4 linked regions of the Ovis aries genome follow. The protein of the gene in region 4 interacts with the protein of the main gene of each other region in a pairwise test. Links are inferred from orthologs where the notes say so. Each region holds a gene or a part of one and is shown on either strand. Other genes may lie near its edges. The genes, in order: CDKN2C, SLC23A1, GEM and AHCYL1.

Region 1 (4,155 bases), about 62 Mb from region 4:
TAAGCTTTCTTAATACTGAAATTTTTGCAAAGTCAGTGTATTCTGATTTAAAATATACAGAGTGTATGGACTTCGTCTGTTAGTAGTACATCTCCTGTCACTTAAATTTCTCATTCTTGCAATTAAAAACAAAGCACTCTAAAAACCCTCTCCCCAGTGGATTTTCAAAAACAGCTTTTAAGTGTTGCATTTCAAATACGAACTGCTTTTGAGAATATCATCAGAACTCAGATAAAGCAACTGTTTGAGACTACTTAGCCATTTTTCTGTTTCTAAGCCTTTCAACCAAGTTACATGATAACGTTCAGAGGAGGAAAAAAGTTATTAGGTACAATACTTGGCAGCTGGACATGTTTCATTTGTTGCTTGTAAATCTAATTACTAAAAATTAGAACATACCATGGTAAGACCGCAGAGACAAAAACACTATAAACTGAGCTCTGATTAGAAAATTCAACTTTTTATTCCTCCTCAATCCTGAATGGGTGGATGGTATTATATTAACTGTGAAATGTACATCCTGTGCCTGTGCCCAGGCCACCCATTCCAAATGAGGAAAGGTCGTTTGTCAAAACTTGAAGCATTTGAAGGAAAAAATACCCTCGCCAGTAGTCAAGAAAATTAACGTTAAAGTCAATTATTGGAGCAAAGTACGGAAACCACTAATAGCAGTGTATTTACTTCAAATAATAATCATAATAACGTGTTTACAGAACTGTCTAAAAAAAAAAAAAAACCAAAAAACTCGGCGCTGCTACGACTGGTACACAATCCCCACAGTCACAAAAACATTCCAAAAATTAAGACCAAACCTGGAACCGACTTGATATAGAGGATGTTACTGGATTTGACGAGTTTGTTCAAAGTACGTCATTTTGGGGAGTTGGATCCACTTAAAGATATAAAATATGGCAACCAACTAGTTTTAAAAACAGTGAAATTTAGTACCCCTGAAAGCTTGAAAGCTATTATTCTAGAAACCCGGGTCACGTAGGCAACATTGTTGACCTGTTTTCCCCACCTCTCTGGATACCAACCTGCAGCGCAGTCCTTCCAAATCCATTTTGTGCATTGACGTTTACATTATTTTGCAACAAACTAGTAAGTTGCTCTAGGTCCCCCCTGGCAGCTGCGGACGCCAACTCGTTCCCCCAAGGCTCGGCCATTCTTTAGGGTCCTGACGATCGGGAAAAGATGAATTAGTTGTTTTTCTTTTTCCCCTTTCCTTCGCTCCTAACCAGGCTGCATGATGGCATCGGAGACTGACAGAAGGACTGGGATGGTTAATCTGGAGTAGAGCTTGGTAGTAAATACTAGTAAGATCTGCCTGCCAAAAGCCCGCCCCTCGATTCACACGTGATTATTCAGCAAAACTGAGCCATTGGAGAGGGGCTCCGCTCCTCGCTTTTTAGCTTAACCCCTATGAAGAATTCTGGTGATTAAACTGAGAGATATACAGACACACATATATTCCTGGTAAATTACTCTGGAAGTAAAATGTAGGCAGAGCTGGCACGTACCTACACTACAGATCTCCAGGAGGAATGTATGCGGAGATTTAAGGGACTACGTTAGGGCAGAAAATACCGTGGAAAAAGAGACATTTAGGGGGAAGAAAAGGTATTAACCCACCCTTGCTCACAGTAGTGACTTGAGCCGCGCGAGCCAGTACCGCAGGGGCAGGTCCTCGGAGGGGCTCGGTCTCCATCCGTCTCGGCGAAGGGGTAGTTCTGAGTCCTCCGCTGCAGGGAGAGCGCCTCGGTGGCTGGATGCTGATGTGCTCCGGGGGTTAAAGATGATCACCAAAATCAAACGAGAGTAGCAGTTCCGTGGCCCTCAAGTTACAGGTCGTAAGGACTCCTCCGTGGCCTTCGATTCTCCGGATGAGTCTTAATCCGCGTCCAGGCCGAGCTGCGGGCTAATGCCGTGCGGGAGGGCTCCGGAGCCCGCCCGCCGGGCTACCGCAGCCCTTCCGAGCCTGAGAGGCCGTGGGAGCCAGGCTCGGCGCGCGTCTCCGGAGACGGCCGGGCGCGCGGCGGGCCCCCGGCAAGCCGGTCATGCCGGCCCCACCGGGTCCTGGGACGCCCAGCAGCGTGAGGAAGGGGGAGAGAGATGCGGGAAGTGTCTATGGAGCCCCGGCTGCTGAGGCAGCGCGCTGCAGCATCGCGGCTGCACGGGGCAGCCCACCGGTAACTTCCCGCCTACAACCGAGCCAGTTCAGACTTCCTAATGTAGAAGCTCATTGAACGACCGCCGCTTCTTTTCCTTCCTTTCTCGGTTTTCTGAGGGCTCCAGAGATCGGGAGGGTCCTAGGAAGTCTCAGGCCAAGCTCTGAGTATTGCGAGTCGCCACAATTCCAGGGCGCAGCCAGTTCCGCCCTCGGCGAGAGCTCAACGGCGCCCTGTGCCACTTCGCCAACCTCTCGCAGTCCCCTGGCCTGTGCCCCCAGCCTGTGCCGCCGATAGGGCAGCGGCCGCCAGCCAGCTGTGCCCGGGAGCCTAGCCGGGTAGCACCGCTTCCTCCCGAGCCGCAGCGCTCCCAGTGACAGTTTCTTTTGTAGCTGGTCCCCCCCAAATCACAGGTCCCTGCTCCCTTCACCCCTACAGACACTTGTGCGTCGTGCCCCTTTCTGGTCTTTTCCTTCCCTCCCTCGCTTCTTTTTTCGCTCAAACAATTGCTGCTTCTGTTGCCGCTGCAGAGACGGTGCCGGTTTCTTCTCCCTTTTTTCCGACCTCATCAGCTTTTTTTGAAAAGAAAAAAATTGAGCGCTTTTTGAGTTGAAAAACCCGCCCCCATTTTAACGGCAGAGTTTTAAGGAGGCTCGGCGGAGTTACAGCACCGCGGGAGCGGGAAGGCCGGGCGCCGCCCACGCCCCGCCCTCCGCCCTGGTGGCGCTCGAGCTCTCAGCCCGGTTCGCCCCGCCCCCTGCCCCGCGCCCTTTCTCCCGCCTCCCGGCTCTGCGCTTCCCTCGCTGTCTCCTGCGCTGGCTCCCACCCGCCAGCCCAGCGGCCAGGCCCGGGCTGGAGCGGCTTTCGGCCCGGCGAAGCCGGGTTTGGCCTCCTTTGGCTGGCGGGCGGAATGGAGGGTGCGACGTGAAACCTCGAGCTGTCCTGAGGCCGGCGGGGCCGGAGGTGGGGAAAAGAGGCTTGTTAATTAAGGGTGCGGAGAGCCGCAGGGCCTCGGAGGCTCGGCGGCTCTGACTGTTGGAAGGCAGAGAGGAGGCTGGCGCGGAGCTAGTCTTTCCCGGGCCTTGGCGGGGCAGGCCGCCCGCCTCAGCGCTCCCCGGCCATGCTCTCGAAGTTCCGGAGGCCAGGCCTATCGCTGCCGCCACCACCTCCGTGGCGCGCTCTGTGCAAACTCGGCCTCCTTTTCTCAGTCCAGCGCTTCGGCCTCGCACCTGCCAGATCAACGCTGAGGGCCGCGGTGGGCCGAGGTGGCCGCGGGGATGGAGGGAGAGACCTGACTGACAGCAAAAAAACTGTGCTCAGAAAAAGCAAAAGCCTTTTCTAGACTGATTGTTACGAAAACTAAAGGCATGGTGTAGGTAAGAAATCACGACGAACTGAAGCCTTAATGTTCCAGGGACTTGAAACGGAAATATTCCATTTCTTTGGGGAAAGGGAGAAAAGCAATTAACTTTAAAGCCAAAAAAATCTTTTAAAGTAGGTCTTGGGAAGGGTTTTCTAAGAAGGGCCTTTGTTTTTGTCAAAGTTCTCTCTGACTACTTTAGATGGGACTTGTTGGGGGTGGGGGAGGGGTGTTTAAATGTAAAGGAATAGTATTTTCCCTAATGTTTATTTCAGTCGTCCGAGGCACCAGTTCTCTGTACTTTTACTTCCTTTTTTAGCTATGTAAGATTAATTAATTACTGCTTTCTATATTTTTTGCTCTTAAAAATATCCAACACGGTTGCATGATGCACCCAGTGGGCAAAATGAAACCAAACAAAAAGTGACAGGTGGTCTAATTATTACCGGTCTCTAGCAAGCATGTTTTCAAGCAACATCTATACCGAGCTCCTTGAGGTACACTGTAGGTATTAGCAACGAAACACATCAACAACATCTGGATAGTCATTAGTAACAGATTGCCTGGTAGGTAGAGGGAGAGTTCGAACTTTGAGCAATCTGGTGGTGTTTCCTTTAACGGAATTGT
Region 2 (4,270 bases), on a different chromosome or scaffold from region 4:
TGGGTGCGTTTGTGCAACTGTGTATCTGAGATCATGTGCAACTTGCCGGCCTTGTCTCCGTGTGTGTGTGTGTGGTATGTGGTTTGGGTAGACTTGAATGACCAAAGGACAGTGTGTGGAAAGGGTGGGGCTGTCTCTCCAGCCCCCTAGGGAGTACCGAGGAAAAGAGGGTGGGGAGGAAAGTGCTGAGGAGTACAGGCTTTGAACTGGTCAGACAACTTTGGGAACCTGGGAGCAGTAGCCAAGAAGGGAGAGGAGAGGACAGGCAGGCAGAGCAACGGGCTGGAGGCTGGAGCAACGGGCTGGAGGCTGGATAAGCCTTTGGATTCAGGGCTGTGACATGAAGCTGCTACCCAGCTGGACAGCGATGCTGCCTGGTAGCCCTCGGGGCAGGCCCTGGCCGTGGGCACAGCGACCCAGAAGTAGGTGGACCCTGAGGGGGCTGGGAAGGCACGGAAGGGACCTCGGGCTCAGCCCCCACTGGCCTAGAGCCTCAACCCCTGGGCTTTCTCCAACCCCTAGGTGGGGAAGATGGTCCGGCCCAGGGCTGCTTCAGGGGCTGTGTGGCCATCACACAGGGCCTGATGCTTAGAAAGGCACCCCCCCCCCCCAATTTGGTTTAATGCTCTGCTGTTGCTGTTTTAAAATTTATAACACTTTTGGAACAGGGGTCCCAGGTTTTGCACTGGGTCCCACAGATCACACAGCTGGTCCTGGCTAGGAGGGAAGGAAAGGAATCCTTGTCCTGACACAGAGGACAGGCAAGACCGGGCTAGCCCTGGCAGCTCCTTGGGCCTATCTGATTTTGCCTCAGGGACCCTGAGCGGTAGTGGTGGGGAGGGCAGTCCTTCATGACATTTAATGTAGAAATAAATACAGTGGGTTTAGGCGTTCAGGCAAACCTAATTTTTGGAATGGTTTTCTAAAACCTTGCGACCTGTGTGGCCTTGGTCAGATCACATCTCCTAAATCTGTTTCCATCAGCTGTGAAACAGGTTAATAGAGCCCAGAGCCTGGGGTTAGACTTGACAATACAAGGATGTTGCTTGGCACGCAGTCATTCCTCAATAACAAGATGGGTTATGATGATGATAATGATTAACTTCTTATTAATAAGTAGAGAAAAGCCTGATTCAGAGTGTGACATCATATGTGCCCAGGGTCACTCCCTTTCTCCTCACCTCACCCAGGGCCTGGTACCCTTCCAAGGTCGTCCACTCCTCACCCTCCCTCTGGCCCTCTCTTGGAAAACTCATGGCCCGTGCCCAGGCTCAGGTGCAAGCAAGGGAGTGCTCAGGAGGTACGTGTGGCAGAGGCTTGGGCGGCCTTTCCCACTACAGCCAGAGTTAATACGTTACCTCAGCCTGGGCCCTCCTTTCGCAATCAGTGATAGAGATCTGGTTACAGATTTACTTCAAACAATGCCTGATATGTGGAGTAAAGTCCTCCTTGGCCTTTGTAAAGCCATCCCTCCTTCTCCTCAGGAACGGCTCACACCTGTGCCCCAAAGATGAGGGCCCGGGAGGACGCTGAGGGCCAGACACAGGTGCTGGGGGATGAGTGGGAATGGGGTGGGGTGGGTGGGGGTGGGGTGCTGTGCAAGCCTGCTCCCTCTCTCTGCTGTGCAGAGAGAAAAGTTCTGATGAACTGGATCAAGAGTGACTGTCCTAGGTGGAATGTGGCAACTGGGGGAGGCGGTGGAGGTGGCAGTGGGGGTGAAAGAGCTTTCTGCTTTGGGACTGGCTGACTCCAGCCTGGAATGAGCAGGGGGCCAGCCTACCACCCCCCACTAGCGGACACTCCAAGGACCGGGGCACTGGTGGGACCAGAGTGGGTCGAAGAGGGTCTGTCTCGGTCTTTAGCCCTCTTGGCCTCTTCCTGGGGTACCTCCAGGCTTCTGACTCACGGGCCCATTCCCTTGGCTAGAAGGCCCAGGTTCCGGGGGCTCCTGGAGCCAGCACAGTGGACTCACTCCTGCACAAGGCAACGTGAGGTGGGAGCCAGGTGTAGCCAGGCCAAGGGAGAGCGGGTAGGTGAAGCTTGAGGGAGGGCAGGGGCCCCCATCTGTGGAGCCGACAGGCCACTAGGGGCACCTGATTGATTCTGAAGCAAAGTGGACTTTTTCTGGGTGTCAACGCTGAGTTCTTCTATATGCTGCCCCCAGCATGAGTCCCTGGGTTCGGCAGGGACCTCCACGAGGGACCCCCCAGCGTCCCTGTCCACAGAACCCAAGTTTGACATGTTGTACAAGATCGAAGATGTGCCGCCCTGGTACCTGTGCGTGCTGCTGGGCTTCCAGGTGGGCGTCTCCCAGGCATACCCCTTGCGCAGCCCCCACCCCGACCACCCTGCACCCACCCCAGGATCCCAGCCCCCTCCCTGGCCAACGAGGTCATCCTGGGTAACAGGAAGAGAAACCTAAGGTCAGCAGCAGTGACTGTCACCAAGTCGGTGGGGAAGAGGCTTGATAGGGTCTGAAAGGGACGGCGCATCACCCGCCAGGGGGAGCGCCAGTGACAGGGAGGAGGCCCATCCCACAGGAGCTGCGGGAGTAACCCGGGGCAGATGGTGACTCCCAGAGAGGTGAGCAGTCGCTCTGCGGGAGTCCCTTATGGGAGTATCAGTCCCAGGCGGGCTCCCTGGTGGGGCTGGCCTGGGCTCAGGCCCCCTGAGGCAGGGTGAGGGCTCTGAGGCCCCCTGCTTCCGGGCGGGCTCCCTGGTGGGGCTGGCCTGGGCTCAGGCCCCCTGAGGCAGGGTGAGGGCTCTGAGGCCCCCTGCTTCCGGGTGGGCTCCCTGGGCCCTGCCTCACGTGCTGCCCCCATCTCCCCGCCCCTAGCACTACCTGACCTGCTTCAGCGGCACCATCGCCGTGCCCTTCCTGCTGGCGGAGGCGCTGTGTGTGGGCCGTGACCAGTACATGGTCAGCCAGCTCATTGGCACCATCTTCACCTGTGTGGGCATCACCACCCTCATCCAGACCACACTGGGCATCCGGTGAGCTGCCCATGTGCCACCTGTACCTCCGACCCCGTTCCTATAGACACACGCAGCGACCCACACAGCAGGCGCAGTCTCAGAGGGCTCTCGTGGGACACAAAGAGCTGCTATTTGTGCCCACCTGCTGCTCTGGCTTCCAGGCCAGACTTAGAGGCAGGTGGCTGGGGTCCCACCCTGGACCCCTGGGAGTTCCTCAAGGAAAAGGAACGTGCCTAGCTGGGCTCTCCTCTGTTCAGCCTTACTCTGGGCAATCGGGACCACTCGCTCTCCTGCTTCCAGAGCCTTTGCGGGCCCCTTCAATGGCCTGTCCTCCTGGGGGCTCCCTGCCCCTTGTGCACAGTCCTAGGCCTGGGTGGCCTAAGGATGGTTGTTTGTGGGAAGGAAGGTTGTGAGCAGAGCTTGCACACAGGAGCCAAGCTATCCACTCCCGTGCCCATGGCCCGTCACAGTGCAGGAGCTGGTGCTCAGAGGGAAAGGGAGCAGGTTATGGGTTAGGGGCTCCATTTGTTTTCTTTCTTAGGCACCCAAAATGTCCCCGAGTCTGGCCTGAGGCCTCAGTGAGTTCCCTCTGTTCTGCCCTGGCCCCTGTTCCTCTGTGTCTCTGTCCCGGTGATTCTCCCGGTGCCTCTCTCTGTGTGGGTCCCCCGCCCCATCTCTTGTTCCTGCCTCCCCACCTCCCATCCTGTCCCTGTGGCTCTGTGCCTCTGCTTCCAGGCTGCCGCTGTTCCAGGCCAGTGCCTTTGCATTTCTGGTCCCAGCGAAAGCCATCCTGGCCCTAGAGAGATGGAAATGCCCTCCAGAAGGTGGGTGCATTTCTGGGGTCTGCATTGGGAAAGGGAATCCCCAGAGCCTGGAGGTCGGGGCTGTCCCGTGTCCATTCAGGGCAGCATCTTTACTTTCTCTCTGTCCACATGTGTGTTCCTATCTCTGCCCACAGAAGAGATCTACGGTAACTGGAGTCTGCCCCTGAATACCTCACATATTTGGCACCCACGGATACGAGAGGTGGGTTTGCATGTGGGGCAGAAGAGGCCTGGACTTGAGAGTGTGGTTAGATGGAGGGGAAGGCCACTGCTGAATTGGGGGATGTGAGAATGTGGTCCAGGAACTTTTTCTGTATAATTTTATGTAATTATTTATTTCCGGCTGTGTTGGGTCTTGGATGCTATGTGGGTTTTCCTCTAGTTGCGGCAAGCAGGAGCTATTCTTCGTTGCAGTGCATGGGCTTCTCGTTGGGGTGGCTTCTCTTGCTGCAGAGAACAGGCTCTAGGGC
Region 3 (3,960 bases), on a different chromosome or scaffold from region 4:
ACTCTGAGATACACACGATCCCTCTTTCAAATGGAGACCTCATTTAACCAGGCAGATCTGAGCTCATGGAAGACCTTCTCCTTTATCAGGGGGAGAGTGAGTGGCTGCAGGACCACTGCATGCAGGTCGGGGATGCCTACCTGATCGTCTACTCCATCACGGACCGAGCCAGCTTCGAGAAGGCGTCTGAGCTGAGGATTCAGCTCCGCAGGGCCCGGCAGACCGAGGACATCCCGATAATCCTGGTTGGCAACAAAAGTGACCTGGTGCGGTGCCGGGAAGTGTCTGTATCAGGTAAGAGGAGCGATGCCAGTACCGTAGAAATGTCTCTGAGTCCCTTGCATTTTGCTTCCAACGGTTGCTCTTTCCTGAAGCTGAAACCAGGGACTTACTAAAATGCCACGTGGAGTTTCACGCATCCTCTCTAAGAGGTCCATGTTCCCAGCAGATCATCTGCTCTACCTGCGGGATTCCAGTCTCTCCATCCCCAAGGCTTTCTCTGGGATTCCTTTAGGGAAGAGGTGCGGCTCAGGGGAAACTGGCCATCCCCAGCGTTTTGGCCCTTCTATTCTCCAGGGAGATCTCAAGCCTTCTGGGAAGTGAAAGTAACATCTTTAGACAGGAAGGTTGGGCACTTTGATTAAGGGGCATTGTGAGAAAGAGTCTTACCGAGATTGAGAATTCCACTCTGGCTGCCTCTGGTTCCTGTTGACCCTAGAAACACCCTCCCAGCCCTCACTCTTTGTTTCCTGAATTCCAGTCAAGGCATCAGTCTGCTGGTGTCAGGTACCCTTTGTCATAATTCAGGGATACTTCTCTTTGTTGAGCTGGCACCCAAGTGCCTTTGGGGACCTTAAAATTTTATTGGCCTAATACAGATTTGTACAATGGTAAAAAAAAAAAATAAAATGCTGCATTGCCAGCCTCCACCCAGCAGTAAAGAACCTTGAAAAAGACTGAAAAGACCCAACCAGCTTGGGAATGCCTTACTCTTGGGAAATGGCTGTCTATAGTAGTCAGTTTCCCCCAAACCAAAATGTGGACACCTGGTCATTGAACACAGTAGAACATTCGAAATTGAGACTGTTTCAGAAAAACTTGTTTGTAGAGTTGCTGTAATTGTACTGTGCATGTGTGAAATCATCAAAATTTTTTCAAAATATCTCATCAAAACTTAAAAAAACATTTTTTTAAGAGAGGAAACCAACTAGTAGGATTCTTAATTTTCGATTCAGGAAACTGAATCAGGAGAAGGAGTAAAGAAGATGAACTTGAGAGGGAAGCAGACCCGGATTCACAGCTGCTACTTACAGGCTGTGTGAACGCCCTCAAGTTTTTAAAGTACCACCTTCTCTCCCTTCCAGTCTCATCAGCTATCTGAAAGGGATAGTGTACTTTTAAAGATTGCTGTGAACATTAAAAAATATTTGTCAAGTATTTAACCCATTTCCCGAGGGGAGTCAATTTCGACGATGGCTGGGACTATTATAATTAATACTATGGCACTGGTGACATGGGACCCTCACACCGTGAATTTGGTGGGCCCGATCTAAAGCCCGTCTTTGCTGCTTCCAGGAATCTTCCTGTGAGGCTCTTTGCTTCTGTTTCAGGGAGGCCACTTGTCCCCGTGGCCTCCGGTATCCATCACGTGCATCGCTGACTTCGAGTTCCCCGGGGCACTGTTTAAAGTTAGGCCGCATCCAGCTTGGCTGTGTGCGTGGCGGGTCAAATCTGCAGCTCCCCTGACTCTCCTCTCGCCCTCTTGCTTTCCCCACCAGAAGGGAGAGCGTGTGCTGTGGTGTTCGACTGCAAGTTCATCGAGACCTCTGCGGCCGTCCAGCACAACGTCAAGGAGCTGTTTGAAGGGATCGTGCGGCAGGTCCGCCTCCGGCGGGACAGCAAGGAGAAGAACGAGCGACGGCTGGCCTACCAGAAGCGGCGGGAGAGCATCCCCAGGAAAGCCAGGCGCTTCTGGGGCAAGATCGTGGCCAAAAACAACAAGAACATGGCCTTCAAGCTCAAGTCCAAATCCTGCCACGACCTCTCGGTGCTCTAGGCACCCAGAGTCACCCGCTGTCCCGCAGAGGACATCACTGAAGGCCGCTGGGACCCATAATCTATATTAGATTGGATTCTTAAGTATCGTTAGATGTGGCTTCCCCTATTGTAGCTGGGAACTAATGTGCTAGCCTGCTGGGCAACCGTACGCATGGGAAATGAAAGGGCTTCGTGAGGAGTCAGTATTCACTTACAGGAAAAGCCTGACCTTTGCTGTCTGAACACCCAAGACTCATTAGAGGGCGTGGTCGGGGTCCACGTGTTTCTTCTCTCCTTTCGCAGATGGAGAATCGAAGCCTAAGGAAGAATGCCTGGACAAGAACTTTTCCTTGTTAAAATTTTGCCTGGTGTTCTGATATGTTATTTGAGGCCACTCAGTCGGTCCTAGGCAAATATAGGAAAGCTGTCAAAGGAGTTTTGCAAAGGAAGGAGAACCTCTGTCTTTGTAGCTTTTATTTGTGGAGCTAGAACTGCATAACTGGGTTCATCAAGGTCATCACTGTCATTGCTCCGTGAAGCTGTGAGAGATGATGGACTTGCTGGAAACGAAAGCTTAGCAAACCATTTTTGTTCAGTGCCCATAGTTGGTGATCCAGAAATCTGTAGAATTGGGAATGGATACATGTACCACTAATGGGTTCAAAAATTGTGTATTTACTATTGTGTCTTATATTTTTTTATTTAGGGGGAAATTATTTTAATCAGATTCTATTTAGCCAAACCACATTTTCTGTTGCATTGTTTTTAAAATCATGGGGACATCATAAAAATATTTTTAACATCTAAATTACTGAGAACATAGAGTGCGAAATGCCAGATTTTAAAATATAATCGAAGCTCTGCATTTTTGTAAAACACAAAATATAAATACTTCCAGCATTTTGGGTTGACCCTTGTATGCCACAGCTCTGCTCTATTTATTATTATTTTGCAAAATAACAACCATTGTAACATTTGATAAAGCATATTTATGAACCTGTTTCTTATTAAGAAAAACACCCATTTTATTACCATTTTCTATCTTTTTCAGAATATTCAAGTTTTTACCTATATGTCTTATAATAAAATAAATAAAATCTTTGGGAAAAAAAAGGCATTCCTAAATATTTTTCCTCTCCAGGAAAGATGATTGTGATCATTTTGGTATAGCTTCCAGAGCAAGCAAATTATAAAGAAACCTACCTATCGTTTTATTTCTTCTTTTCATTGGCAATAGCCTAGTAATTATCTGTTTTAAAGAGTATTCCTGACATCTGTCCTTTGGGACGTGATTCACAATAATGCAAAGTGATTTTCAGCTGATACAGTTAGGAAGTATTTGGAGTCACATAAATGCTAAGTTACAATAAAAGTGAGATTGATTTTTACTTTGGTCTGGCAAATTCCTAACTCAACAGATGGGCCTCACTTTGCTCCCCAAAGGCTCATGGTCCTAAGCTTGAGTAAAGCATTAGAGGAAATTATAAAGGATTAGGGAGGTAAAAAAGGAAGCTGGTGATTTTCAGCCTGAGATCTAGCCAGGCAAGGCTTTAACCAAATTCTCCCTGTTGACTTTATTACAGCTGGACATTAATACATAGTTGCTTTCCAGTGGCACTGTGTAGCCCTTCTGCTACAGGAGAGGGACTCCCTCTTCACACCCCTGGCCCACATGTGTACCCTCTTTCACTCTCAACTCCCTCTCCTTCTGAGTTTGTGGTCACACACACACTCACAGTGACAATCATGGGACCTTGCATATTGCCCCGAGTGACACAGTTTCACAAGGGGCTTCTTTTCTGTTCTGTTGCCCTTTCTCCTCCGTTTTCCAAGTTGGGAGCAGAAGTTCCCATCTCAGAACTTGGCATCTTTGAATCGTGTAAGGAAACAGTACAGGGAAGTGATGAGAGTAAAGACTCAGGT
Region 4 (3,564 bases):
TCAGAATTTATAGTTCAGCTAAGGAAATTGCTGCAGGAAGGTGAGGGTAGTACGTGTTATGTTGGCTATTGAGGTGAACCCAGAAGCTTTGCCAGAGAAGAATGGGGCGGTACAAGTTGCCCTATTTTGTCACTCTGCCGAATGGCTTTCGTAATACATTCTGATTGTACTGAAAGATACCTTAAAGACAACGTTGAGTGGTTTTTTTAATTAGGCGAATATTCCAAGTTAGATTCTTTCAGTGTTATTCCAAGCCTTGTCCTCTCTCTCAGAAAGCTTCAGATGAAATAATGGGAGGCTGTGCCCTGAGAGGCATATTTTATATGGAGTTTGCTCCCTGCTGCTTTGTTCTTCTTAGATGAGTACGTTGCCAGCTTGCACCTGCCATCATTTGATGCCCACCTGACAGAGCTGACAGATGACCAAGCAAAATATCTGGGACTCAACAAAAATGGGCCATTCAAACCCAATTACTACAGGTAACTCGGGGGAAAGTAAATGAAAAGATGTTCTCCCTGATATTATACCAAGCAGACTTTTCTAAATGGTATTATAGCTGATTTTGAAATGTACAAGAACTCTGCCCCACACTAAAAAGTAAACAGAGAAATTATCTATCTAGTAGTAGATGTAAAGAAGTCAGCATTTTCTAAAATTTTGGAGCTTGAGCCTCCCCCCGAGAGATTCTGATAGAGTTAGTCTAGAATGGGGCCCAGGCTTATTTTGTAAAACTTCTTCAGATTATTCTAACATATTGTCACATTGAAAATCACTGACTTATTAGGGAGCGGGAGAGAAAGCTAGAGATGGCATTGTTGGAAATCCTGTGGAAACACAGTGAGAAATGATCCCTGGGGAATGACTGCAGGAATCCCTGGCCTATGCAAGGGAAGACCCTGGAGAGTGTTCTCTGTTTTTTATTCTTCTCTTGGAACTCTGATTTGGAAGACACAGGTGCTAACCAGTTACTCTTTCTTTACAGATACTAATGGACCATATTACCAAGGACCAGAACACATGAACCACACAATTCTAAAAGAAATATTTTTTAAGATAACTTTTATTTTCTTCTTAATCCTTTCCTTTTGATTTTTTTTTTTTCCTATAATTTCTTTCTTGGGTTTTTTTTTTTTTTTTTTTTTTTCATCTCATTATCCAAGTTCTACAGACCACACAGGAACTTGCTTCATGGCTCTTTAGATGAAACTGAGATTAAAGGTTTCTCACCCTAGTCACTAAAGAAGGATTTTACTCTCCCAGCCCAGAAAGGTGATCCTTTCTTTTCCATTTCTGGGGACTTAATAGTCTTAATTGGGTACCTTATTAACAGGAGACGCTAAGGTACCGTCTGTGTGGAACAATCTGCAATGTCTAAATTGCCTTAAAAGAGCCCATTTCTCAGCTGCTGGAATCAGTGCTCTTTCACTTCTTCAGAGGAGCAGGGATGGTACCTACCAGGCAGGTAGGTTAGATGTAGGTGGTGCATGTTAATTTCCCCTAGATATTCCAAGCCCTGTTTCCTGTGTAAAGGTGGTATGTTTGGTTCAGAGATGTATACTAGTGAGTGTTGCTTGTTAAGATCCAGTAGGCCCACTTGGATTTAGTACAGCCCTTCCTCCACTTCCCACCAGACCCTCTCATTTTCCAGGTTTTTAACCAGACTGTTCTGTTAAGTTGAATTTTGTCCCCTAGCATTTATTTCTGTTTTTGTTTTAGGGTTTTTTATTTGTTTTTTAAGTAAGAAAAACGTTTAGTCTTAATATTGAGGAGCTGCTTGAGTGATTAGTTGTTATCAGTTTATCTTTTGAACCTTTGGAGCTAAAAGTGCAGAGTTGAGTCTAGAGAAATGCTGATTTCAAATTCTGATAATTCCAGTTTCTAGCCCATAGTTCCTAGCATCAATGAACTGTGGCCATAATAGCGGATTTTATCAGCTCTGCCCATCAGCTTGTGCTGGAAGCAAATTTCTTGAGTCATTAGTCAGTATATAGCACTGAACTCTCTTTAAGAGCAAATTTCTGATCAGCTGTGCTTCTGCAATTTAAAATATTTAAAGGGAGGTAGGTGTGGATGGGAGGAGGAAGGCTAAATTGGGCCAGGGTGAGGGAAATCAGCTCTGTTTAACTTGTCTGGGACATTAGGCCCCATATAACTTAGGTTTTACAGAAGCAGTACCACTTTTGATTTACACGTGACACAGAAAGTGTGCGAACTGAGACCTCAAAGGGCAGTTTGTGCCTAGAGTAATCGGTATGTCCTGGCTCACGCTCTGTAAGAATCCCCAGAAAGGCTCTCTTAGAGATCAGAGAGATGATATATTCCCCTGCCATGAACCCTGCTTACCAGCATTTCTGCATGGTCAGACGAGCTTTATGCTCATGAGCTTTAAATGCATAATTATCTAGGATTCTAAATCCTCAACTTGTTCTAGCTTGTGATCCTTCAAAGTTGGGTCAGGCATTAGTGCTAGATACTAGAAATTTTCATTTCCCTGTTGTTATTGATCAGCGGGACAGGCATTAATTAAAAACAGAAATATAAAAAAGGAAAGCTTCCACCCTGTGACTTCCTATCAGGGGACAGTGATCTTGCCAAAAATTTTTTCCCTTTTTTCTCCCTACCCTGCCCCTTCCCACTCCTTGCCAATGCAACCATGCTTTCTTCTCTGTAGATGCTAACAGTTCAAGCCCTTTTCCCAGGGCATTTAACCAGCCAATCAGAACAGCACATCCTTTAGGGGAGATAACCTGGCCAACAGTGGTATCCATCATGTCAGCTCTGCTAGAGGGAAGGGGCTCAGGTCCTGCTACCCTCTGGCCTGCCCCCTGCTCCCATATCTTTTACTGTGTCCATAGGAATACTCGATAAGGGCTCCGTCTCTGTCAAGCCATGTAACAAAGGACACTGTGGGAAAATGTCTGGCATCAGAGGGAGCATGTGGAGAGCAACTTAGGAGGAACAAGTTTATTTTGTATTGAATGATTTTTAATGAATGCAATATTAATCCTTGCAGACGAGCAATAATCATTAAAGTCAATTAAAATGATAAGACCTTATTGGAATCCTGTGTCATTCTTGTTTGAACAACACCTTCATTTAGAATCTGTTTTCCAAGATGGGACAAGTCATTGGTCAGTTAGCAATATCTGAGAGATTTTTTAGGACCTAGTATGTAGAGGAAGAGGCTAGATGCAGAGTTCCTCAGTAATATCTTAAATTTTGTGTCTGCTCTGTGCCCAGCATTGGGCCTACACACTTTCACTTTAACTTCGTTCCTGCAACTTGCTGCCTAAAATTCAGGCTGCCTCAGGTACACAGTCCCCTTCATAAGACCCTGTACCTAATTCTTAAAAAACACCTCCAAAGTTATGTAAGCTTTAGCCCATCCCCACCCCACACCATACCTGTATCCATCGCTGAAGTAGTCTCCATATTTTCTGATTTAACAGTGTATCTGTTAATATTGTTCAAAATAACACCCTTTCTATTTTATTAAACTGATCCCAAACAATGTTGATTTTGCAGTGCAGATTGGTAAAATGAATGTTTTTAGTTCTGCAAGGT

What was found.
Region 1: the proteins of AHCYL1 (region 4) and CDKN2C interact in binary tests that used the Homo sapiens proteins (3 or more experiments, as listed by UniProt). The two-hybrid records come from large-scale screens. The link is inferred for Ovis aries from reciprocal best matches to the Homo sapiens genes AHCYL1 and CDKN2C.
Region 2: the proteins of AHCYL1 (region 4) and SLC23A1 interact in binary tests that used the Homo sapiens proteins (3 or more experiments, as listed by UniProt). The two-hybrid records come from large-scale screens. The link is inferred for Ovis aries from reciprocal best matches to the Homo sapiens genes AHCYL1 and SLC23A1.
Region 3: the proteins of AHCYL1 (region 4) and GEM interact in binary tests that used the Homo sapiens proteins (3 or more experiments, as listed by UniProt). The two-hybrid records come from large-scale screens. The link is inferred for Ovis aries from reciprocal best matches to the Homo sapiens genes AHCYL1 and GEM.

The regions. Positions count from the first base shown.
Region 1 is NC_056054.1:25,429,483-25,433,637, reverse strand, and holds the start of CDKN2C (cyclin-dependent kinase 4 inhibitor C), read right to left. Parts: upstream 2,820-4,155; 5' UTR 1,643-2,819; exon of another isoform or gene 1,633-1,642; intron 1,178-1,632; 5' UTR 1,167-1,177; coding exon 1,038-1,166; intron 1-1,037. UniProt on the Homo sapiens protein: Interacts strongly with CDK6, weakly with CDK4. Inhibits cell growth and proliferation with a correlated dependence on endogenous retinoblastoma protein RB.
Region 2 is NC_056058.1:48,320,989-48,325,258, reverse strand, and holds the start of SLC23A1 (solute carrier family 23 member 1), read left to right. Parts: upstream 1-1,466; 5' UTR 1,467-1,510; coding exon 1,511-1,546; intron 1,547-1,926; exon of another isoform or gene 1,927-2,029; intron 2,030-2,164; coding exon 2,165-2,299; intron 2,300-2,836; coding exon 2,837-2,994; intron 2,995-3,711; coding exon 3,712-3,800; intron 3,801-3,934; coding exon 3,935-4,002; intron 4,003-4,270.
Region 3 is NC_056062.1:82,977,411-82,981,370, forward strand, and holds the end of GEM (GTP-binding protein GEM), read left to right. Parts: intron 1-89; coding exon 90-294; intron 295-1,778; coding exon 1,779-2,056; 3' UTR 2,057-3,425; downstream 3,426-3,960. UniProt on the Homo sapiens protein: Could be a regulatory protein, possibly participating in receptor-mediated signal transduction at the plasma membrane. Has guanine nucleotide-binding activity but undetectable intrinsic GTPase activity.
Region 4 is NC_056054.1:87,334,297-87,337,860, forward strand, and holds the end of AHCYL1 (S-adenosylhomocysteine hydrolase-like protein 1), read left to right. Parts: intron 1-358; coding exon 359-479; coding exon of another isoform or gene 480-483; exon of another isoform or gene 484-982; coding exon 983-989; 3' UTR 990-3,056; downstream 3,057-3,564. UniProt on the Homo sapiens protein: Multifaceted cellular regulator which coordinates several essential cellular functions including regulation of epithelial HCO3(-) and fluid secretion, mRNA processing and DNA replication.